Linked DNA regions of Drosophila melanogaster. The protein of the gene in region 4 purifies or fractionates together with the protein of the main gene of each other region. This does not show direct contact. Each region holds a gene or a part of one and is shown on either strand. Other genes may lie near its edges.

Region 1 (5,947 bases), on a different chromosome or scaffold from region 4:
GGTTACTTTCTGCTCCAAATATGTATTAGCCTAACATTGAGGTGCTGCAGATTGAAGATTGAAGGAAGGCGGAACACATTAGCGCCACGCCAACCATGAGAAACCAGCTAAACGGGCGAAGCGAAACGAATAGAGCGGCGAGGCGGCAGAGATCAACGGACTATGCGACGGCAAGGAGTGCATTGCTGCTGTCTGGTGGCCATCGCCCTGGCCATGGCCATACGCCAGGTGTCCATGGGCATCAGCGCCAGCGATCGCCGCTTCCAGTGCCTGCAGACGCGACTGATAGGCCAGGCCAACTGCTCGCCATGCGCCGATCTGTACGTCTTCAATCGCCAATCCGCCTACCGGCGCTGCGAGCACGTCAACGGTAATTGCTACCCACATCGCACGGTCTTCGCCAGCGCCCGCATGTGCGAGCTCACCTGCCAGCCGTACATCCGGCGACCCACGCTGCACGAGGTGACCACCCTGCCGCCGCCACCACCGATCGTCGAGCCCTTCGGCGACAGCGATGAGGAGTTCGAGTGAGGTTTTGTCAACAAAGATAAGCTGCTTTTAATTCAGTTGGTATGGGAATGTTTGGTCGGGATTATAGGTAGTGGTGCAGGTGATGGTAATGCGTAATGTTTAACAAGATCCTTTGTGGAGGAGATTCGATTCTAATGGGGCACACTGGAGTTGATGGTCTCCTCCAAGGCAGACACTGCAAGACGAAGTGAAAAAGAGTAAGTTCAAATGTCCAAATTTCGGGACCAACAATCACTTACGGAATCCGTGATCGTTCTGGTGCACCAGCGTGTTAAGGATGTCGGCCAGCATCTGGTGGCAACGTATGTACGTTAACTCGATCTCCGCCACCTGGTTGAGCGCCAGGTACTCCAAGCTACGACGTTGCGTTTCGCTGTCATCAATGCCGTCATCCGAAATGGTGACGTCCAAGCATAGGGCATCGTGGTCGTGCATGCAGCTGGCGCAGGTGGTCCACTCCATGTCCAGCACGTAGACCAGATGAAAGATCTGGTCGAGGGCGACGCGGAATGCCTTAAATTCGTCGGTCAGCATACAGTGTGTCTTCAGCCACGCCAGGTGCTCGTCGTGCATGATACGCAACTCGCGGACATTCTTGCACTCGCCAATCCTGAGCTCGAACTGCCGGCTCACGGCCTCCATAATGTGCGCGTGCAGGTTGTTGATGAGGAAAATTAACCAGAAGCGCACAATCTCCAGGCGACGAATGGTCAGACCGATCAAATCCAGTGGTGCGCAGGGATTGAACCTAGCGCGACGCAAAAACTGCATATTCTCCAGCTTCCAGACGGCCCACTTCACCTTCAGCATCAGACGCCACACCGAATTGTAGTCTTGCATGTGCGCGGGTGTGAGAATGTACCACTGGTGCATGGCCATTGGCCGCTCGAAGTCCAGTTCAATAGCCTCCAGGGCCTCATAGACCTTGATTGAATTCGAGTTTATCTGGGATATTAACTTGACATGAAGATAATGAGCCAATTGCGGATAATGCGGAAGGAGCACAGCGCATAGCTTAGAAGTGAGCACCGAACCCAGTGCCCAGCTATTGTTTTTCTCCATGCGCACGAAGAGTGCGTTGTAGTATGGCACAAATAGGTAGTATTTCTCCAGCAGCATCGTATGCCGCAGGAATCGCATCTTCTCGGCCACCTGCGTTTCCTTGCAGTACGCTCGAATCGCGTACTCGTTCGCCAGCCACTGTCTCCTTCGCAGTATTTCGCGCAGTGCCTCCGGCAACTCAGACTTCAGCTGCAGACATGTGGAGCGCTCCAAGCGCTTCAAAATGTTGGCCATTAGAACGGGGTTGCTTTTAAGCCGCTCACGTTGTCGCTCCAAACGTTGTTCCACCAACGGCTGGGTAAATATGGCGAAAAGTTCATGGTTCCTAATGCCCTGCCTATTGCACACAGTCAGATCTTCGTAGTCTTTGTCCGGCTCCGGCTCATCCTCGTAATCCGTGTTGTCCGCACCACAGTAAACCTTTAGCTGCGCAAAGAACTGCGTGAACAGCTCATCGTGCAGCGACGGCAGTTGGATTTCATTGTTGCTGGTCAGCATTTCGCTCAGCGTATTTACACTACATAGCAAATCTTGCGTTTCGCCAGACTCCAAGGCATGCTCCAGCAGTAGCTGGTAGAGTGGGCAGGATTGCAGCTTGTTGAAGATCTCCACGAGTAGCAAATCATCCTCCATTCCCATATTTCGTTTGCGCACGTGGCTACGTGTGTTCGCATCTTCCTCGTAACTATTAAAAACAATGTAGTTATGACTTCAGCTGGCCAGAGTGATGTGTGAGCACCATTTTGGCTTACCAAAACTCCACGATGAACTCGCGAAGGTGATCTTCCAGCGCGGCCCTGCGCCACCAGCCGTCGATGATGATACAATATCGCTTGAGAGATATAAACAGCAGGGCAGTGGCCAGCTTCTGGTGCGGCACCTGCAGCAAGGTGTGCTTATACAGTCTGGATAGCAAGTAGGCACTGCGTATGTGCGCAGGTCCCTTATCCAGGATGACATCTTCGGCCAGCTCTCGCAGTAAGCGCAGCTGGCTAAAATGTTCCCTGAACTCAATCGTAAAACGGATCAGTGTATTTTTCGCTGGATCCTTATTGACACGATCCTCGTAAGCGATGAGGAGCTGGCAAATGGGCTGGACAAGATCTCTCAGGCCGTATGCAAAGAACTCCACGGTGTATGTTGTCTTTACGCCATGAAAATGCAACGTATGAGTATCGATGATGTGACGCAGTTCCATCATGTCCTCCAGCGCAGGCACCACATCAAATAACAGAAAATTTTGCATTGTGCTCTACAAAAAAAAAAGCCGGACTAAAGATAGAGTTACACATTAACGATTCGACTTTCTTACCGCAGTCACCGTACAAATACTGACATTGTCACGCACAGTAATGCGTCGCGTGGCCTTGTCGAATTCAAAGAAACAACAGCTCGCTGGACGCACAAACATGAAGAGGATCTCCCTTAGCAGACAGGGCTCCGTGATGGTTTTCGGCACTGGCAGGGCCAACAAGCCTCGGGCATTGTGATTCAGAAACTGCACGTAGCTGACGGCAAAGTTGTCCAGTGGCTTAGCACTGGAGGGCAGGGCGTTTAAATGGACATCTTGGCACCACCAGTGGGAATGGATTTTACGGAAGAGCGTATCTGTGTTGCCACTTTGCCAATATTGGGTGAATGGTCGGGGCGGTTGGGGTGGCGGCAACTGGAGCAGCTTGCTTCGTCTCAGATGGCTGCCCTTTAAGTTGTTGAGGCTTAGAACAGTTGGTTTCATTATCCGAAAGTCGTAACTCCGGATCACGCTCTGCTCGGGCGGCATATACGTTTTGTTAACACTTCCAGTCGGAACGACTGCCATCATGGCCTGCTCGTACACCCTGGCCATTTCCAAGAGGCTTCGCGAGACGCCAATATTTTCATCGGGCTTCAGAGTAGTTGTCGAGTCGCAGTCCGACTCCTCCGACCAGTCCTTTTGGAAAGAAGGTAAAGGTATTAGTATGCTGCAAATGATTTTATGGAAAGAACAGGCTACATATGTGTAGCAGATGACATATGTTTGGGGTTCTCTAGATGCTCACACTTAAGCTGTCCGAGCTGTCATCCTCTGGCGGATCCAGAAAATCCTCGGACAGCAGCGCTGCCCAGTCCACCTCCGTTTCGGAGGTATTCTTGGCTGCCTCCAGTTTCGCCTGTTCCTCTATCTGTGCCTGTCGCTCGGCTTCCTCCATGCTATTAATTATGGACAGACGGCGCTGTTCCATGAACTCGCGGTTCAGCCGGATCTTTTGCACCGGCCTATCGGCTATGCGAAACAGCAATTCGAGCATTTGCCATCCGGGGTTAGGATTGAATTGCTGTTGATTTTCGTCCATAGCCAAATACCTGATGGCCAAGTCCTTGATGCTCTCACCAAAAGACGCCATGCCCTCCGCCCGAAAACGCTCTGCCAGATCGTCCAGGTTGCGTTTCACCTCCATGTCCGTCGTTGTAGGAGCCCATGTCCTGCGTTGGTTGGCGATTATCTTCAATGCCGTATCCTCCATCTGGCGCAACTTTTTCTGGCTCGTCTGCGTTTTAAGTTGGTTAAATTGGAATAGGGATAACATCTGTTTTAAAACATACCCCCGGTTCCGACAGGCTCCTGACCAGTTTTCGCACGTTCTCGTTTATGGCGGAGTTGACTGCCGTCGAGGTCTTGCCGGAGCGCTTCCGTAGGTTACCCTTCTGGGCGGGAGGAGCCATTTCGCTCCGCTTTCTGATTGAGATCCAATAAATTCTATAAATGGCGCCCTCAGCAATGACAACAACGTAAATGGTACACCGGCATAATTATCGGTTCAGTTATCGATAGCAATGGAAACAGCTGTTCGTGGATGATCGACAATCGACTTGAAACGTAAACAATTGTAAATGTTGTCATTTAAATTGAGTTTTCGAAGGGCAATATGACGACCAGCTCGCCTCACCCCACCTACGTAATACTGGGCTCTGGCGGCCACACGGCGGAGATGTGCCGGCTGACCCAGGCGCTGCTGCAACAGACAGACATCGAACAGACGGAGAAGTACCAGCCAATTAGACTGATCCTGGCCAACAGTGACTCTACCTCCGAGCGCCAGTTCAGGCAGGTCCTGCCGCAGGCTGCCCAGAGGGCGGAATTCGTGAAGGTGCCGCGCAGCCGCGACGTGGGCCAATCCTGGCTAAGCAGCATCTTCACCAGCCTGTGGGCGCTTCTCTGGAGCTGCTATCTGGTCTGGCGTGATCGCCCCCAACTGATCCTCTGCAATGGACCCGGCACCTGTGTGCCCTTCTGCTATGCCGCCTATCTGTGGCGCCTCCTCGGACGCCTGCCCTCGCACTCCAGAATAGTGTTCGTGGAGAGCTTCTGCCGCGTGGAGACGCTGTCGCTGAGCGGACGCCTGCTCCTTCCGCTGGCGGACCTCTTTGTGGTCCACTGGCCGGCGTTGGCCACGCGCTATTTGGATAAAAAGAATGTGCGATATTTTGGGCGAATCCTGTAACATGTTTTTAATAACATTAAAGTTAACATTAGTTTCTATTTAACGAATTATGTTTTGTATGAGATGTTTTTTGTCCTAGCGCTTCTTGCGACCAGCGCAGACGGATCCATGGACCTTCAGGTGTAGAGGCATGATCTCCAGGCCACATCTGGGGCAGCCTACGGTCTCTTTGAAGAGGTTGCGCTGGCGGCGCTGACGCGGAGTAAGTTCGTCCTCGCTAGACGGCAGAGTAGACGAGTCGGTAGAGGAGCTCAGGTTGAGCTTGTCGATCTCCCCTTCTGTGTAACCGGAGCTGCGAAGAATTCCTTTTGATGACTTTGCTTTCGATTTAGCGCGGCGTGATGTGGAAGCTCCCGACGAGTCCTTTGAGGTTAAGGAAGCAGTTGTTCGGCGGTTTTTAGGCTTAAACGATGGCGGTTCCAAGCGCACCATAATGGCGCAGCCATCGAAGTGATTGGACAACTCAGTGCGCCTCATTTTCTCAAAGCAAATGGGACAAGATACGATGTCGTTCTCAATTCTTTTGGCGTAGCTTGAGCAACTGGGCTGCACGTCGTTCTCACGCTGGAACTCCTTCAGCAGGGTGTCCTCTCCAAAAATATCATCTATAATGGATTGGTCAGCTAGCTCCGTGGCGGCTGTTAAAGATTCATTTGCGGCCACCTCATCGTCGTATTCATCATCAATTAAGAGGATATCGTCCTCACACAAGGTCAACTCATCCTCCATTACCTGGCGCTTGATGATCTGCGTGCGCTCCTGACTGGTCATGGTTTTTCTGCCAGCTGGCATCTTCATCTCCTCTTCATCACTAGAGCTTTCGACCAAGTTGACGATGGGCGTATGAACATCCCTGACCATTACGTCATCAT
Region 2 (6,958 bases), on a different chromosome or scaffold from region 4:
GTTCTCATACTGATCTTTAGTAAAATAATGCTCTCTTCGCAGGGAACAATATATTTGTTGCCTACTTTACAGCGTAGCTACCACATTGATGCCCATCACGAGTTTACTAACATCAAATTTGGTTAAAATTCTGGATGGTTTCTTGCTTGCATTTGCTTCCACTCCAAAAATCCAAGTGGCTAGCTTAAATTAAGAACTGGCCAAATACCAACGACATAAGCTTCGTATATGAAAGGCTTCAGGATGGGGGAAAACCGCAAACCCCGTAGCAGGAGCAAACGATGATGAACATCCTGGAAACCAAGATCTCAGCTATCATTCTGATTCGATGTATAAACCAGTGGTGAGAGCTACCTAGGATATTTGTGCATTTCTAAACAGAGTGGCCAAGCTTATCGCGGATGACCTGGTTGACGACGAAGTACAATATCTTGGTTGGCGGCACAATCTGCAATCTACGCCACTGGCTTACGTTGCAATCGAAAATCGTGTCCAGTGCCGTAAATTGCAGTTGTGTGAACGCAAACGGCAGCAGCGAAGGACATTTTAATTGGTTTATTGGTTCATACATATTCGAATTTGTATAACTAAACGGGTAACAATTGGTGCGCTTTGTTGGATGGCAAATGAGAAGACATGCGTGGGGAATGATGGTAAATGTGCGCTTGTGATTATGAAATTCATTTATCTAATACTTTGTTCTTGTCTTTTCCGTTTCCGTTTCCACGTCCACATCCACATCCACATCCACATCCTTTCCTCTAGACGTGCTGGCTTAGCCAATGGCATCCTCTACACACATCTTGTCCATTTGATCGGTGTAGAAGGCATTGAAGTTGATGCGGTGCACCAGATTCATGAAGCAATCGGCGGTGTTCTTCTTCGCCATGCTGTTGATCTGCTTGAGGAACGATATCAGCAGTTGGGTAAATTCCAGATCAAAGCGCCTAACCCGCTCCGAAAACGTATCTGTCGGATCCAACGGGGTCTCAATCTAGCAGGGGACAAAGAAATCACAAGTTAATCACTGGAACATACATGTGAGGATGTCACAAATACACTGAATTTGGGGGGAATTCTTATGTATATACAAATTCTTCCCGAACTCAGGCTAATTTTGTGGCATCCGTATACACAAAAGTATAAGTATATAAAATATAAAAATAAGTATATAAAATATATAGATTAACCGCTTAAGTTGGTCTTACACAAATTGTTTTAACTGAATTTCAAAACATTTTTTCCAAACAATACTACGTTTTGTAAGTAGATTCATTAAGAAGGAATAATAATCAGGGAAAACTTAATAATAATCTACTTATTGTAGATTATTTCTGCATTAGTAATTTAATGATACCAGAAGATGCATTTAAGGTTTTAAAAACAAAAGAAAGCAAATGGCCTAATGCATAGGCAAGCCAATCAAAAATAACTTAAAGCATGCAATCCAAATTCGAAATAAAAGAAACAATGCTATCAAAATCGGGGCCACGCCATTATGCAATCCAGCTGGACACAAAACGGAAATGGGTCCACCGATAACGAAAGTGGGAGCGAGAACACAGGAACCGCAAGGAACAACGTGGTTGAGCACAAGCCTACGCAATACCTGTGGGCAGTGCAGGCTCTCCTGTTCGGATTCGGAGCTGTCCGCGCTATCACGTACCATCGACCTGAGCTCAGCGTCCTGAAAGTAACGCTGCGTGATCTGCGAAGGTGGGGATTAGCAAGGATTCCACATAGAGTTGGAAGCGTTGGCAAGCGGGATAGACATAGAGCATTAAGAGCACGGAGCACGGAGCACGAAGCACAGAGCAAAGGAAGAAGGGTTGTACGCAAAAATTTAGCAATTTAGCCACCCGGTACCCTCGCACTGTAACTGGAACTCACCTGGATGAACTCGCAGTACTTCAGGCAGATCTTGCAGAGCTTGAAGATCGAACGATTCAGATGCGACGACTCGGTCAGCATGCAGTTCTTAAGGCACGAGTCGAGGAAGTCCTGGTGGAGACGCAGAACGTTATCCACGTTCTCCACCGTCTTCATCTTTTCAATGAAAATGTGCCAGTTGGGCTCGATGATCTCGATCATCATGTAGTACTCCAGGTTCTGGATGGCATTCATCATACGCTGGCGCAGAGTGAACGCCGCTCGATAGAGACTAGCCGCCTGCGGCTCGAACTGCCTGGCAATCGAGTTTTCCTTCCAAATCCTGTTTGCGAGAGAAGAACTTAAATGATCGTGGGCATAAAAGGTTAAGGATCGGGAACCCACTTGCACAGTTGGCGCTCCACGTGCTTGCAGTAGAAGAGCTGTCGAAAGAGCATTTGGTACTTGGAGATGGAAATGTGATTCAGCACCAAAGAGCAGGGCCACTTCACCTCGTAGGTGAAAGCGAAGCACTCGAGGCCGCTAAGATCGAGGCGAGGCTGTGCCTGCCAGTTCTCCTCCTTCTTCATGATCTTGGACATTTGCGTGACCAGGTCGTAGGGCAGCAGCTCGCAGTGCAGATCGTCTTTGTAGGGATCATTACGCGCCGAGGAAATGCGAAGCGTTAGTCCCAGCAGGTTCTCTAGCGTCATGGGCAACACGTGGTCCACGTTCTTCGTCAGCTCGTCCTCGCAGGCGTCCATGAACTGCATGGTGAAGTCGCCTTGGTTGAGCAGCAAGTAACGCTTCACCGACTGTAGGTGACCCATCAGGTCGTTCTCCGTTAGCAGCACATCCAGCAGCATGCGGGCGGCAAAGTAGTAAGCGTCGTTGATGACGGACACGTGCCGCTCGCTGGTCGGGTCGAACTCTAGGTTCATCTCTTGCGTGGGCATTACGCGCTTGCCACACTGTCTGATCACATTGAGATACTTGCCGGTGCGCAGGATCTTATCCGAATACTTTGCCAGAAACGATGGTATTTGTTCGTCGCGCAAGGTATACCGTCTCTCCCAATAATCGTCGGAATAGTGCTCGGGCAGCTCGTCGCGATGGATCACTTCGTTGTCCACTACGAGAAATTCCCGGTGGCGGTCCACGATCACGCCCTTCTGGATCCACATCTGCAGCATTCGCATGTACGGCTTGGCCGCCTTGCGCACCAGTCCGATAATCAGCTGTTGTGCATCTTTGTTGCCTTCCAGCCGCTTGATCCGCTCGTGTAAATACGTCAACACTTCGGCATCCCGTGAATCGCTTAGCTGAATGATCACCAACGAGGACCAGACCTCATGCATCACCCACATCGTCGGCTGCAGGTAGTACAGTAGTTTCTGCAATGTTAATCTATTGTGGCGCAGCTCCTGTTCGGCTTGTACGATTATCAGCTAGGCTCGGTGGAAAAAAAGATTAGTTAGGGAAAAATTTTGCCACGACACGATTGCACATCCTTACATAGAAGTCGTGTGTAAGTTCCTGCAGTGCCTCATTCAATGAGTTCATCACCTGACCCAGGCCGTCGGTAGCCGCGATTATCTTCTGCACGCCCATGAAGTAGGAGGCCAATGGCAAGATTTCCCGCACCTGGTGTGTCAGCGAGCGATCGAGGTGCGTGTGTATGTCAAAGTCCGTGTCGTATTTGGCCAGGCCAACGGCAGAAATAATTGGCTTCTGAGGCACCAGGAGGCTTTCTCTTATGCCCGTGAGGCAGTGCAGCAGCTCGTCGAGCAGCATACTCTCCTGGCTGAGAAGCGGCATTGCCGCGATCTCTGCCCTCGGCACCTTGTCCCCGTCCACCTTGTAGTATTCCCACAGTAAATGGGTGCGGTACTCATCGGGCACATCAGTTAGCGTCACCAGGTCATTCGGCATTGACTTTGGGCTGTTGCCCGTTTTGTTGGTCACCGAGCGGTAGCCGCTCAAGGATTGATCGGAAACGGCATTAAGCACACGTTCCTTGATCTGTGTGGGTTGATCATTGATTATTTGAAGGGGCCAAGTAATTGGCAGCGAACAGCACACCATACTTAGTCTGCACTCACCACACTTAAGTCGTTGCGCTCATCCTTGCCCGCTCCACGGTTACGGTCCATTGGGCCGCGCCTGACAAAGACTACGGGTGTAGTGTCGGATTCAGTGGCCTTTTTGCAATTCACCGGCGTCGAGGTGGGAAAGTCCTGGGACTGGGTCAAGCTAAGCCTGGTGGAACCAGATACGTTTTGCGATGTGGTTAAGATTGTCGAGGTGCTTGCGATTGCCAATGTGGTGGGGACTGAACCGGCTGCGGAATTAACATCCGAAGTCTTGTTTCCGTGCGGCAAGCCCATCGCTGAAAGGCTAGTGGAACTGCTGCTCTCGGAGACTGGTTTGCATTCGCTGTATCGCTCGACGAACACCAGCAGTGCGTACATGGGATCCTTATTCTGCAGAATGTGCGAGATCTCCTTGGTCACCTCTGCGAAGTTGGGACGCTTCTCGCTGATGGACACCAGGACTTTGATCAGATCGCAGGCTGGCAGCCGCCGATCACTAGTGGCCCGAAACTCCCGAATGATGCTCTCCGGAGTTAGGGGCGATCTGTGGGATAAAAAATGACAGTAAACTATGGTGCCAATGGCGGGAAAGAGGCGGTGCAGGAGCAACGGCTAGATCGACTGGCCACCTGTGCACTCAATCCACTTACTGCGACTCGCTGATCAAATTGGCGAGCACACCGCGCAGCGCATGGGGTTTACTCATCACGGAGATGGCAATTTATAGTTCCGCGCTTCTCAATTTACAGTTATAACCGGCAATTGAGCTCTTTTTGAGTGCGCCGCTCTTCTCAATATTTTGTTGTTCTTTTCCGGGTTGCTTGAGTGCCGACTGCAGCGACAGGGTTGTCATCTGTCCTTGTAATGTTCTAGTTTTTTTTTCAATCCTTAGCCGTTTTAAAATCGCAGATGCTCATTTTATTTTACGCGCTTGCAGCAATTTCGGAATCAATTTAAACTGAAATGAGCAGCACAAGCAACTTGATGCAAATTGGCATTTGTTGGTATTTAATTGTGAGGATGTGGTGACACTGGTTGCTGGCGAAAAAGAGGGGTGCGTTTAGCATAGTTTACACTGGACTGGCCACTACTGTAACTTATTTGCGTTAAAGCGTGCAAAGCATTGAAAAAATACAAATTTTGTTAAATGAAAAAAGCTGTACATAAAAAATAAATAAGAAATACTTTCTACCCACAGATTAAATAATTGAAACTACTCCTCTATTATTTTATTCTATCTTAACTTTATATTCTTGTTTAATCAACAAAATTTATATCTGGCAACTGTTTTGATTTTAAATTGCAGGCAAGTGATAGTGTGAATGGCCCATAGAGCAGCGGACAGTGTGACCGTGCCATAAGGGTAAGTGTAAGACCGCACTGCTGAGCGCAGGCGCAGTCCAAATCAGCTGCTTTGCAGCGATTACAGTCGCGTCCCTGATCTTCTGCAGCCGAAATCCGTGGGCGTTGCACCAACACCACCAACGCACTGCACAAACCGCCCACCAAGGACACGGTAGCGACCGACCGGAAGCCGCAGAGCATACGAATCAACACTTCTGGCAAGAGGAAAGGAGCATGTTCCCCCACTTGAAGGGCCATGGTCAGCGGGTCAACCTGCAGTTGCTGCAGGAGGCCGCCTGCCGCGAGCTGCTGCAGCAGCTGGACCGCATTGAGGGTTCCAAGGTTATTGTGCTGGACGAGACCATGATCGGACCGCTGGACTTGGTTACCCGGCCAAAGTTATTCGCTGATCGAGGCATCCGTCTGCTGGCCCTCAAGCCGGAGCTTCATTTGCCGCGCGAGGTGGCCAATGTGGTGTACGTGATGCGCCCACGCGTGGCGCTGATGGAGCAGCTGGCCGCCCACGTGAAGGCAGGCGGAAGAGCGGCCGCTGGACGGCAGTACCACATCCTGTTCGCCCCGAGGCGGTCATGTCTGTGCGTCAGCCAACTGGAGGTCAGCGGCGTGTTGGGCAGCTTCGGAAACATCGAGGAACTGGCCTGGAACTATCTGCCGCTGGATGTCGACCTGGTATCGATGGAGATGCCCAATGCCTTCCGCGATGTGAGTGTGGACGGTGACACTAGCTCGCTGTATCAGGCGGCAGTGGGCCTAGTGCAGCTGCAGCGTCTATACGGTCGCATTCCGAAGATCTACGGAAAAGGAGAGTTTGCGCACAGGGTATGGGAGCACGCCAAGCAGCTGGGCCGGGATGAGCGGACTCTGTACAACGGCGACAAGGGTGTCGTCGATCAGTTGATCCTTCTGGACAGAAGCATCGATCTGCTCAGCCCGCTGGCCACACAACTCACCTACGAGGGGCTTATCGATGAGTTCTACGGCATCCGGCAGAACAAACTGACGCTGCCCGCCGAGAACTTTCCCTCTGACGGAGCCCTTCCCGGAGGCGGAGGCAGTGGCCCACGAGTCGAGGAATCGCAGTCGCTGCTGGGTGACACCGAGAAAAAGACCATCCTACTGCACTCCGGCGAGCAGTTGTACGCGGAGCTGCGGAACAAGCACTTCAACGAGGTCACCAAGCTGCTCGCTCGCAAGGCACGGGAAATTCACGTCCAGATGCACGCCACCTCCCAGGACAAGAGCGTGCAGGAGATCAAGAGCTTCGTCGAGAACCTCCTGCCGCAGCTAATGGCCCAGAAGAAGGCCACCTCTGAGCATACGGCCATCGCTGGCCTCCTGCACGAACAGGTGAACGCGGTGCGCTTCGCTGACGACCTGGCTGCCGAGCAGGAGTTCATGGTCTGCGCAGATATCGACAAGCCAAGCGCCTACATCGAGGACCTGATTGCCTGCAGGGTGGAGTTGAATCGCGTCCTGCGGCTCATCTGCATGCAGTGCCACGCCGCCTCCGGATTCAAGGAGAAGCTGCTTAACCACTACAAGCGCGAACTGGTCCATGTGTACGGTCTGGAAGTGCTGCTCACCATCAGCAACCTGGAGAAATCGGGCCTGCTCCATCTGCAAACAGAGTC
Region 3 (7,210 bases), on a different chromosome or scaffold from region 4:
TCCATCAGCTTCTGGATCTGATCCTCTGTGATCTCCGCCTCCTTCGCCTTGGGCCCAATTATTCCCTTGGCTCGGAGCACATCATTCCACTCGGTATCTTCGTTTGGGTCCTATGGACAACAAGGCCACGTGAGTTTCATTTCATTCATGATTTTCAATACCAAATATGGGGTTTATTTTTGGATGCACCAAAACACACCCACCATTACCATTTATCGAAATGGAAAAACCTTATTGTTCGGATAATAAATATAATTTGCTTATAACAGTCCATCTTACCTGCATGTTTTTTGATTATAGTTCGATGAAATAAATTACTTAAAAATATAAAATTCTTGATCGCGTGCAGCGCTTTTATAAACTAAAAATAAAACTGAATTATTCTACACGAAGTGACTCATGACCAGGGATGGAGCGAATACCGATACATCGTACGCGCACAGTCACTTAGAGATGATAGGGAAGCGATACCTTACATACGTTTGAATTAAATATTAAATATTAAATATTAAATATGGTAAGACATACATAAATAAGCACATTTATTTATAAATTCGAATCAACAGTTTCAAGAAATCATGTCGACATTGGTTTCATTACAATATTTAATACGTACATTCTACTTTAGAGACAATTGTCTCTTTTAAAAGTTTTTCTTAAATATTAAACAGAAATCTATTAATGATATGGATAAATATTCAAAACAGTTTTTTCGGCATTTAATACGAGTTCAATTAAAACACTATTAGATGTTACTAATTAAATTATTTTCTTTTAATTTGAGCCGGTTATTTGAAAATTAATATTAACTTACAACACAACAAAACTGTTAACCGAAACTAAAGAAATAGTACTAAGAAATAAATGCCTTTAAAGCTGATTTTCTTCACCGAAGCTTTACATTTAGGAGACGCCATGCATGCATAAATATTTTTTAAAATGTTCTAAGCTCAGCTTAATGGCAAGATAAATTCCCTATCTAACAATTATTGGCTAGCACTTTTTGTCCTCCATTGAGGAACCAGTATGGTTCCCAGATACCTTGTAATAGTGGTTAAAGTTAATAATACAAATCAGGTCACCGATTTCCTCCTGGTAACCAGAAGCGGCCGCCTTGTTGCCCAAATAGATGAGATACTGCAAGAATTTCTCGAACTCAGCCTCTTCCTGCTGCAGACGTTTGAAGCGGGGGTGCACAAAGTAATTATCTTGATCCACAATAAAGGACTGCGACTGAATGACTCTGAAAAACATTTAAATTAAAGAATAAAATGAATCAGCAGACTATTTAAGACGTAAACTCACTTGCAAAAGCGTAGTATAATCACTAGGATATTATCAATGGTTTCCTTTACTTTCGCACTGCGTCGATTTAGCAGTGCTAGGAAGGCTACCCGCTTTAAGTAGGCAACATGCTGCTTGTACAACGCCTCAATGGAATCGGCTGTGCACAACTCCTCCTTGAAGCTCTTCCAGGTGGACAACAGGGCCTTGGCCACCAGATGCGTTTGAAACGAGGTCATGAAGTGCGACATCTTGTGGCGCATCATCTGCATGTGTCGGAAATGAGTACATGTCCGAAGTTCCGGTCCCAGAAGCTTGCCCATTTGCTGCAGATACTCGTAGGTTCCATCCAGCACGAAACTAACGTGACGAAGCTTCAGCAGATACCCGAAGATCTGGCCATATTTTGAAATCGTCTCCGAGCTGATCACCATGTTTAAAGGCCAATCAATCTTGCAGTTCAGCTTTAGCATAGAAGTGGCTTCCACGGACAGGAAGTTGAGCGTATCCGGGATGGTGGTACAATTGAGGGTAAGGTTCTCCGATACCGTCGTTTCATCCGCCGAACAAGCCGCCAGCGCATTGGTTAAAATGGTGTCAAGGATGCCCTTCTGGCTGAGACTTCGTGGCCCAACGCCCGCCCTTATTCTTCCTAGAATTTCGTTCGTGAGTGTAGCTCCAAATTGACCGTCCACCAGGAAAAAGTAGTTTCTGAGCTTGCGGAAATGCTCGTAGATACGCTGCTCCTGGAATATTCTCAGCACTTCATTTCGGAGCAGTCCGTAGTATGCGTTAAGGGGCGCCATTACGGAGAGCTGCAGGCAGCGGCGGGCCATAAACGGATTGCAAGCCTCGGGCAAAGTGCTAACTTTATCTCTGTCCTGTTCCGTCTCCCTTTCATCTTTCATTCCAAAATCCAGTTTCGGCAATAAGCTAGTTGGTTTAGCAATTGCAAGAACGGGCTTTGGCAACTCCGGAGACAAACTTTCAATGCTCCCACTAACATTGTTATTATTAGCAGTGTCAGCTATTTCTGGTAGTTCCCGTGGCGACGGATCACCGAAATCCACATCGGAAGTGGTGGACATTGGAGTTAGCACCGCCAGGGGAATTTCGACGTGAAGCTTGTCGATTTCGAGAGGCAAACAGGGCGTGGCCTTTGTTTCTATATCCGTGTTCTTATAACCTAGACCGAACTCGGTCTCCATAACCCGAAGTCGATTTCTGCCACGTTCAGTATTTGAGTTCAATAGGGAACGCAATCGATGGGTGTGCTCATCTTCGGTAGAGTTAAAACTGAAGAAGCCGTCATGATGCTCGTTGCGCTTGCGGTTTCGCTGTAGTTCGGTCAGCTCTTTCGTGTCCGGGCAATTGAGATTAGCATTAATATCTTGAGGAATTTCTGCGTGCAATCCTGAACTCGTGCTGGCAGCGGTTTTAAGTAAGTCGGACTCTTGTAGATGTACCGTGGCATGACACTGTTGAAACTGGTCGGAGGAGAGACCATGCTGGCGGTTTCGATTGAACTCTGCTTGGGTTGTTGGATGCTCGTTAGAATTTATCACGTCCGAGTGACTCCGTTGATACTGAAACACATTGGGAAGTGAACACTCTTTGCCACGTGGTTGGTCCACATCTACATCCGCTTGATATTCAGCTTCGGGCTGTTCCAATGGAACATTTAAAGTCTTATCCAACTGTTTTGTTGCCTCATCCTCTGAATTTTCTGTATTTGCATCATCTTTATCAGAAGATGATTCTGCTAGACAATCTGGTTCCTCAATGCAGGATGCAAAACTGAGATCGCTGACTGTGCTTCGGTCAGGACTGGACGACAGGACAGCTGCTAGCTGCACCACTTTCTTTTGCAGCTCTTGCTTTTCCCGCTCCAGGAGCTTATCCTCCATCCGTTCGCATTCCCGCTGAAATGCAAGTTCATTAACAATGTCCTGACGCCGCTTCTCTAAGTGATTTTGCTGGATACGTTCCTGCTCTGCGTTTAACTGATCGTTCTGGAGTTTTTTCTGGGCATTCGCTTTTATTTGGAGTTCACGCTGCTTCTGCGCCCACGCGTCCAGATGGGCCTGCGTTCGCTTCACCATTAGATTGGCAAATACACGCTTTGTCGCCATGCGGTCCTCGAAAATGCTTTGCATGCTGCACCATCCGAAACGTTTATAGATGATGGCATACTTATCGGCCAGGTTGCGGCGCATATTTTTGAGTTGTTGCTCCGTTAGGCAAACCACAATATCCGGGTACTGCACGTCAAAAACGGGGTGCTAAAAAAAGAATAAATCATTATATATGGATTCTAGTTTTGAATAATCTTCTGCATACCTGAGCGTTATATGCCCTTAGCACCAGGTTGTATTTGCCACATTGAAGAATTTCCTCTTCGCAACCGACTAAAAATTCAGGAATCGCCTCGTTGTCCACTTGATAGCTTTTGTCAAAGAACTCTTTGCTGCACTGGTTTGTAAAAGACGGTGAAGTGTTCAGACAGCGGCTGATGAAAATCTCGTTGACCGACTCGTCTAGTTCACCATGGTAGATCCATCTCTGTAGCTGAATAAAATAATTACGGGATATGCAGCGCAAGAAATAGATGAGCAGGTGCAGGAAGTCTTTGTTTCCGCAGGTGTCGATGGCCAGCCAGATGGAGCTCAACAGGAAGGAGCCAGTTATCCCAGTGTTCAGGTTTACTGCATTAATGTATATAAAAGAGATTAATTCTGAAATAATTTCGCGTCGCGGCATTCTTACATCTTGGTTCATTTTCGAACATCCTATCTAGTTGGCAGAGTAACTGAATCGCTGTGGAGGTGTTGTTTAGCAGCTGGAAAAGGCTATCGGCTTGCAAAGAGAGCAAAAACTGCCGAGTGGTGCTTAGATAGTCCATAATCGTCTCTCGCATGGCCTATAAGAAAGCATGGGATTGTTGAATATATCACTACTGGAAATAAGGTATTCAATCTCACTCGATTTAGAGGCCTTTCCAGCCGCATTTCGGCGATATTGTTCCATTTGGTGCGGGAACTCAAACGCAGGAAGGCGCAGCCGGCACGAATGAAGTGATTTGCAAAATCCGCCAGCACCTCCGGCAGCATAGTTGGCAAAGTTGTGTTGGGCCTCACTCGCAACTCCAACTTATCTGCCGACGAGATGGGAAACGTTAAAGATTCAATACCACACGCTGCTTTCTTTAGGTGATCGATTAGGGTTGCTTCATCTAGGTAGTTGAGAACCAGGTTCTTGTTCCGGAGGATCTTAAGTTCGTTGGTCAACAATTTATCCGAAACGAAGTGCTTCTCCGGTCCAGGCTGGGCCACAAAAGGTCGTTCATCCTCTAATGGAGCTACGACTTTTTTCGCGAGCACTGGCAATCGGGGTGGTGGATGCATTGGTTTTTCCATTTCGTTCCTCATGCGTGTAATGGACTCTGATAATCCCATGCGAATTACAGTAGATGGTATGATCTTCGGAATTAGCTTTTCTGGCGGAAAATTTATATTCAGGTTACTCGTTGTAAGAATATCGGAGTATGGCTGTAGTTGCAGGGGTTTCAGGGCGCGATTCATTTGATTGATGTCGGGAAAGGCCTTTGGATGAAGTGCCTCCTCCACAATCTCTATGGTTTCAATCAGCTGCAGTGGACCTGCCTTGATACGTTTGATCACCACTTCGGACTGGTTTTCCTCATCCTGGTCCTGTGTAATCTCCGATTCTTCCTTATCCTGTCCTTCTAGCAGATTTTGGAACCTGAGCAGCATGTCCATCCGGTCTGGGTTCTTTGCCACCTCGCTGGTCACCTGGTGGAGCATCTCCAGCTTGTCCTGGGACGACATCGTTTCACTGTGAAGCAGCGATTCATAGATTTTGGAGCGCTTTTTGGCCACCAGCACAGCTGTTTGTTTTTTTGGCTTCATCTCATCGGCCACCAGCATTGTGGCCATTTTGGTTACCAGGTCGAGGACGCTGTGATTGCATTCAGCCACAGTTGCCATCGATTTGGCTTTTAATACTCAAAAACTAAAAGATATTTTCCATAAACAAAACATAAGGACTAGGCTCGGTGTGACCGCACCACAGTTTCACAAAAATCCGACTATTGCTACTTCGGCGTATTTCCGTTATATTTTAAAAATACCTTTTATATGTTCATTAACCCACTATTGATTTTTAACCCTTGAAAATTTTGTTTTCATCTGTAGATATTGGGATTCTTGGTTTCTCTTGATTTGATATTTGATATTTGATATTTTTTTCTACAGGTTTTCGCCATCTTTTTTCTACTAAACCAAACATCTCGATTCGTATTCATACTTCAAATAAAAACACGTTTTCGAAATGTACACTAAATTAAAAAGTTTTAAATATATTGTTTTTTTGCTCTTTTTACAAATACACAATATTCTCTGTTTCGCTCATTGGCTTACAGTTTTAGCTTAATTTTACATACCTTAGTTTTGTATTCGTAACACATTTAAGACATGCAGAACTTGAAATTGAATCTATTTTAGTTTTGCCGGTTTTTCATTTCTATGCGATTTACAATTAGTTTATGCCATGTTTTCGTATTGAACGGTTGCCTATTCATCTGAACTTGCGTGGGAAACATCAAGAAGTTAGCTTTATGGCCAACGGGGTATAATTGTTCACAAATGGGAACGATCTGTGTCGACTGTCCACAGATTACTGCAATGGTGTTGTTACGGCTAGGATCAGTTGGCCAGGTGGTGTGGCCTGCACAGATGCCGACGGACCCGGTGATTCCTCCTGCTCGAACTTCCTGTCGTGCACGACCACGTTCCCCATCAGTACGAATCATGAAGCGCTGTTCGTCTCACCGTTGCTGTCGTGGAAGTTGGTGCCATTGACGATGAAGGAGGTACCCAGGCCGTACAGGTGTCCGGAGTACTTCGCATGGTCGATGTTGTCCTCGAAGAACATCTGCAAAGATTGTAAGTTTCATTAGGCAGGTACAGAACATTGGATCGTTTTTCGAATGGGACAGCACAAATGGGTTAGAAAGCAGTTTCTGGGTAAGTATGGTAATTATGGGATGTATCAATGCGAGCAACTTTAGTTGGGAGCTACAAAGCGTATAAAGCACACATATTTCTACGGCAGCAAAGTCTTAGAAAGTAATCCCAAGTAGATGGGTGGGTCCTACTTGTAGATAGGATTTGTTACATACCGCAGAACCGATGTGATTGGACGAGGTTTCAATATTAGTAAATTTCATATTTAATGAATGTTAGTATGGGATGGGATTTATTCTGCAATGTTCTTGTTATTTCAAAACTATTCGGCAGTTCTCTAGAAGATAAAGGTCTTGGTACGCTGATACACACAGTAAACCGTGTGGAAACATATGTCAGCAAAGCGCTTAAAATTACAAAAGAATAATTTGTTAATTCGATATAAATGAAGAGCGTGAACTTAACATAAATTAAAATGAACATCAATACAATTAAAAAGATGTCATATGAAATCAAGCAAGCTATGATATGCATATGCCATGCCCAAACACCAAAGAATGCAAATAAACATTTAAAGAAAATTAATTCCAATTCATTTAATTTTCCATTCGAATCCAGCGCGTTTCTCATTTCAATTCGTATCGCGGGCATTACAGCTAAATAAACATGTTTCACATGGGTTTAACAGCTCCAAACTAACTACTAAGAACACTTCAAATTATGGATTTCATTCATAAATTCTGGGTCACTGGCTCTGTAAATTGTGCAGGTCACAAAAAACTAAGTACATAGATGAGTTATGTATGAAAATGCGTTATGACAACCATGAAAAACCTTAAACCTAAGGAATAATGATTATGATGGGCGGAGGCACGTTACGTTAGCAGTGGCAAGTGCACGGCAACACCAGCGAGCGAGCTGTCTAATCATCCGAAGCTATT
Region 4 (4,281 bases):
ATGATCTTCCAAGTGAAAGGAAAGCTAAGAATTAATCATATAAATTGTTTTCACTTACGATTTTATTTTGTCTTGGGGAAAAGCGTTCAGGGTATCCTAATTTCCTTCTAAAAGGGCAGCTAAGTGGACTTTAAACCAAATTAGATTGTTCTCTATGCAATGTGAACTAAACACTTACATTTGGCCTATTTACAGAAATAGGATCTTAGAAACAACAAAATAGGTACCGGAAAACGTAAGACACAAACTATTTTCAAAGGTGTTAACACATCGAATTTTGGAATACGAATGGAAAATTCATTTCGCTCAGTCTGTTACGGGGAAATGTGAAGTGACATGAAAAATCAAAGCCAATATGACTATAAAAATGTACACATATCAAGATACATGTGGATGTGGAATTAGTGATTGTGTTGACCAACTTTAAACTAACTAACGAATAAGTAAATTTTAGTTATTGTATATCCTTAGTTGAATAAAAAACCCTTTTTTTCACACAAAAGTTGATATCAGAACTTTTGTGTGTTGAGGTGTGATCGTTACTACTTCCTACCTCGTTCAGAGTTATTTTTGCTTGATTTATGTAAGTTGAATCATTCCTGGAAACTTTTATAATTCCTAAATTGATTATAAAGTATTTTAAATACATATATTATTGTTGATAAAAAAAATAAAAAGTATTGACGGTTGAATTATAAATAATTATCGATTAACCGGCTTTCGAAGCTTCGACAGCAGGACTCCACTGGGGATAATCGATCTGGGTGGCTGCCTCATATTCCTGCACCAAGCAGTCAACCGTGTCCCGTGCGATGTCCAGTTCGGTCAGGTCGTCCTGGAACATGGATTCGCGGCGAAAGTTGTCGAGGAAGGCGTTGCGCTTCCTCAGCTTATCGTACTGGGCCAAGGCCCTCTTGAAGAGCGAACTGATACCCGTGTGATTGGCCATCATCAATCCGGATACCTTGTGGGCCGACTGCACATAGGGCGAGCTGCGCGGCAGAGCCACTTGGATGCTGGCCGGACCCCATGGTATGAAGTTGGCCAGCTTTCGCTCGCGGATGCGCTGCAGCGACTTGTGCACCTGGGATGGATCCACCTCGCCCTGGATGATGTTCAGTATGGAGACGAAGCACTGGCGGCTCTGCTTGTCCGTCAGCGCGGAAACCATCATGTTCTTCGGCTGCAGAAGGCGACGCATTACATCCAAAACGGTGGTCTTTCGAACGCTTGTCTTGGTCTGAAAGTGGTTGCCTCTTTTTATTTGCATTCCCATTTACATATGTCATATCATCATACCTCGCAGTCGGACATTAGCGGAGTATATCCCGTCATCAGGAAGTGCAGCTGGGGCGTGGGAATGAGCGAGGCGGTCAGACCGATGAGGTTGTTGTTCATGTACGAGGGATATCGCAGGGTGGTGGTGCTCAGACTCATGATGGTGGACACCAGATTGTTGATCTGCGTAAAAGTGGGCGTTTGGATGTGCAATCTTTCGGTGGCGATGCGGTTCAGTGCGGTATTATCCAGCACCACCACACTGTCCGCGCACTTGGTCAAACGCTTCAGGGTAAGGATCGAGTTATATGGCTGCACAACCACGTCGCTGATCTCGTCCTGATTGGGAAAAACGCTGTACGTCTGTATGAGCTTCTTGGGAAAGCGTTCGGACAGCCGTTCCAGGACATATGAGCCCATTCCGGACCCAGTTCCGCCGGCTATCGAGTGGCAGAGCACGAATCCCTCCAGCGAATCGCTGCCATCGGCCTCGCGGTCCAGAATGTCGAACACCTCCTCCTGCACCTTCTCACCCTGGCTAAAGCCGGACGCCCAGTTGTTTCCTGCTCCACCGCCGTGCTTGGAGAGGAACACATTCTCCTGGTTGTACAACTGCAAAGGGGAAACACATATCCATCTACATAGTTTTTTAAATGAAATACATAAAATAAAGTAGATTAGATCAGAATCCGATCCAATAAGACCAGTTTCCGCACTGACCTTGGAGTACGGAGAGGTCATGATGTTGTTAATGACTCTGGGCTCTAAGTCTATGAGAACGGCCCGCGGTATGTAATGGTTGTCGTCCGCCTGGTAAAAGAACACATCCTTGCGATCCTGTCCATCGGTGGCGAAGTCTTCCAGGACGCCATCCGGGGAGATGCCGTGCTCCAGGCACAATCTCTTCCAGAACTCGAAACCAACTGCGGAATGGAGTGATCTCGATCAAGCCGGAGCTTCTCTTAACTTCGATTTCGACGTGAAGAACTTACTTTGATTGCCACATTGGCCCAATTGAAGGGTTATAATCTCGCTGGGCATTTTGCTCGAATTGCAGTTTAGTTAATTTCGCTTCTTTCTCAGTAAATAATAACTGTGCATCGAAGGCCAACTGGAGATGGAAGTGGAAGTCATTAATATCGATATACAAGAAGTACAATACAACAGTAAGTTATTACCTATTTTTCTTTACTAATCTTTATGATTTATTTAATGTTATTGGACTTATAGAAAATACTTAGAATTAAGATTTGATCCATTTTTTTTTTAAATATTTAGGTTCAAATAAATTAGCCATAGTTATATATTTTTTATGTTTTCATTTACATAAAACATTAACTGTTATTTTTTTAAATTTAAAGGACTAGCTTTTTCAATTGTACAGCACACCCTGTGGCTGCGAGTAACGGTTCTCGGGAGTCGTTATTTTCTGAGAAGCGCGCAACGTGCACACTGGCAGGCTGATTGAAAAAATTCGTTGCAAATGTTTATGTACAAATATTGAATAAAAAATAAAAATGCTGCGGCAGGAGAACTTGGCAGCCAACTTCTGCGGTCTCCTGGCCAGCCAGGGCTATAAAGGTGAGTTCGTATTTCGCCAATTTACTCCGAGCCTCATGGATGTCCGTAAAAATCGCAGAGAAGGCAAACGAGTGGCGCATTTTGGGCCAGGAACAGGATGGATCTCTGCTCACGTCCTGGATATTCGAGTACGCGGACGAGGATCAGCGCAAGGAGACGTGCATTGGCCACTTTCACGCCACCAAGAAGCAGCTGCGACTCCTTTGGACCCTCGACAATTGCCGTGAGATCGTCCAGGCAACGATTAACAGCAGTGTCACATTGCTGTCCTTCGTGGAGAAAACTGAGGGCAAGCTCTATCAGGCCTTTGTCGTGGAGGTAAGGAGCTCCGAAGGTGGCACGGCCACGCCCCTCAACTCGGAGCCCTCCAACCGCCAGATGATGACGCAGTTCCTGTGGCGCGTCGAGAGTGCCACGCGCACCTGCTGGCAGGACAAGCTACTGGTGCTCACCCACGAGGAATGTAGGTGTCATGTATATGTCATTATCCACCTCTAACTCCCATGCTCGTACCTGTTTTTTCTAGCCATCAAGCAGTACAGCTGCGTGGTCAAGCAGAGCTCCACCACATGCTCGACTGGCGGAGGCGAGGGCAGCGCCTGGAGGCTAGACACCAGCATACTGACCTACGAAACGCTGGCCAGGAACTTTAGCTGGGCCCAGTGGGATCCCGAGTGCCAGGCTCTTTATTACATTCACTTGAAGCCGAAGGCCAAGAGCCTCAGTCTGCTGGACGAGAGGGAGGAGGCTGGCGAGCAGACAACTCCTACTTTAAGCCCCACGCTCTCCGCCTTTCAGTTTAACGAAAAACAGCCAACGGAAACAGTGGTAGGTACTTAAAGATTAAAGTATTACGTATAGGTGTAGTTACATCTTTCTATTGCAGCTTAATATACCCCTCAATTTGCCAAAGCTGCCCAATGGCTCCAAAGAGGAATCGCCAAGCTACGATGACGATGCGGTTCCCTTGCGCGTGCACGATAGTTCGCTAAATCTCATCATACTGGCGGACACCTCGGGCATGTTTTTCGTCTGTCACTACTACCTGTACCAGCCGATGCAGTCGGAGCAAAGGGATGTGCACTTTGCCTACTCGGTGACTTTGCTTCACCACGGCTATGTGGTGCACTGCGTCATGCCCGGTGTGCCGTGGCAAAAGGCCCGTCTGCTGAGGCCAACATTTGCGCTACACGGCCAGCATCACTTGCTGGTGTCGTCCGCCTTTTTTGTCCACCTCTTGGACGTGGGACTGCAGCACGAACCGAACTGCCATATCGTGTGTGCAGCCCACAATCGAAGTCCCGATATCACACAGCTGGTGCCTTTGCGAAAGTGGGGAGCTCTGGCTTATGATGCGGCCACCTTGGATCTGGTCTCGTTGTCCGTGCCCAAATCCCATTTGATAGAGGCTTTCCGCAATGA

Evidence for each region.
Region 1: the proteins of gammaTub37C (region 4) and Grip128 purify together in Drosophila melanogaster (affinity purification with western blotting; 4 studies listed by BioGRID, with this or other methods). This does not show direct contact.
Region 2: the proteins of gammaTub37C (region 4) and Grip84 purify together in Drosophila melanogaster (affinity purification with western blotting; 4 studies listed by BioGRID, with this or other methods). This does not show direct contact.
Region 3: the proteins of gammaTub37C (region 4) and Grip163 purify together in Drosophila melanogaster (affinity purification with western blotting; 4 studies listed by BioGRID, with this or other methods). This does not show direct contact.

Annotation. Positions count from the first base shown.
Region 1 is NC_004354.4:15,467,744-15,473,690, forward strand, and holds Grip128 (Grip128), read right to left. Parts: upstream 4,377-5,947; 5' UTR 4,297-4,376; coding exon 4,177-4,296; intron 4,122-4,176; coding exon 3,633-4,121; intron 3,524-3,632; coding exon 2,906-3,523; intron 2,846-2,905; coding exon 2,346-2,845; intron 2,279-2,345; coding exon 771-2,278; intron 707-770; coding exon 663-706; 3' UTR 538-662; downstream 1-537. Other genes in the region: CG15641 (uncharacterized protein), read left to right, coding at 163-531; Alg14 (ALG14, UDP-N-acetylglucosaminyltransferase subunit), read left to right, coding at 4,500-5,075; mh (maternal haploid), read right to left, coding at 5,151-5,947.
Region 2 is NC_004354.4:19,560,802-19,567,759, forward strand, and holds Grip84 (Gamma-tubulin ring protein 84), read right to left. Parts: upstream 4,964-6,958; 5' UTR 4,669-4,963; coding exon 4,613-4,668; exon of another isoform or gene 4,507-4,612; coding exon 3,972-4,506; intron 3,892-3,971; coding exon 3,385-3,891; intron 3,318-3,384; coding exon 2,275-3,317; intron 2,213-2,274; coding exon 1,891-2,212; coding exon of another isoform or gene 1,852-1,890; exon of another isoform or gene 1,709-1,851; coding exon 1,610-1,708; exon of another isoform or gene 995-1,609; coding exon 776-994; 3' UTR 539-775; downstream 1-538. Other genes in the region: car (carnation), read left to right, coding at 5,541-6,958.
Region 3 is NT_037436.4:11,992,760-11,999,969, forward strand, and holds Grip163 (Grip163), read right to left. Parts: upstream 5,380-7,210; 5' UTR 5,292-5,379; coding exon 4,266-5,291; intron 4,205-4,265; coding exon 4,051-4,204; intron 3,990-4,050; coding exon 3,625-3,989; intron 3,567-3,624; coding exon 1,306-3,566; intron 1,244-1,305; coding exon 994-1,243; 3' UTR 515-993; downstream 1-514. Other genes in the region: viaf (viral IAP-associated factor), read right to left, coding at 1-110, 280-285; Pop2, read right to left, coding at 7,196-7,210.
Region 4 is NT_033779.5:19,183,334-19,187,614, forward strand, and holds gammaTub37C (gamma-Tubulin at 37C), read right to left. Parts: upstream 2,394-4,281; 5' UTR 2,320-2,393; coding exon 2,271-2,319; intron 2,202-2,270; coding exon 1,999-2,201; intron 1,891-1,998; coding exon 1,300-1,890; intron 1,241-1,299; coding exon 710-1,240; 3' UTR 530-709; downstream 1-529. Other genes in the region: CG46059 (uncharacterized protein), read right to left, coding at 1-2; pigeon, read left to right, coding at 2,796-2,859, 2,918-3,322, 3,386-3,687, 3,746-4,281. UniProt on the Drosophila melanogaster protein: Tubulin is the major constituent of microtubules. The gamma chain is found at microtubule organizing centers (MTOC) such as the spindle poles or the centrosome, suggesting that it is involved in the minus-end nucleation of microtubule assembly.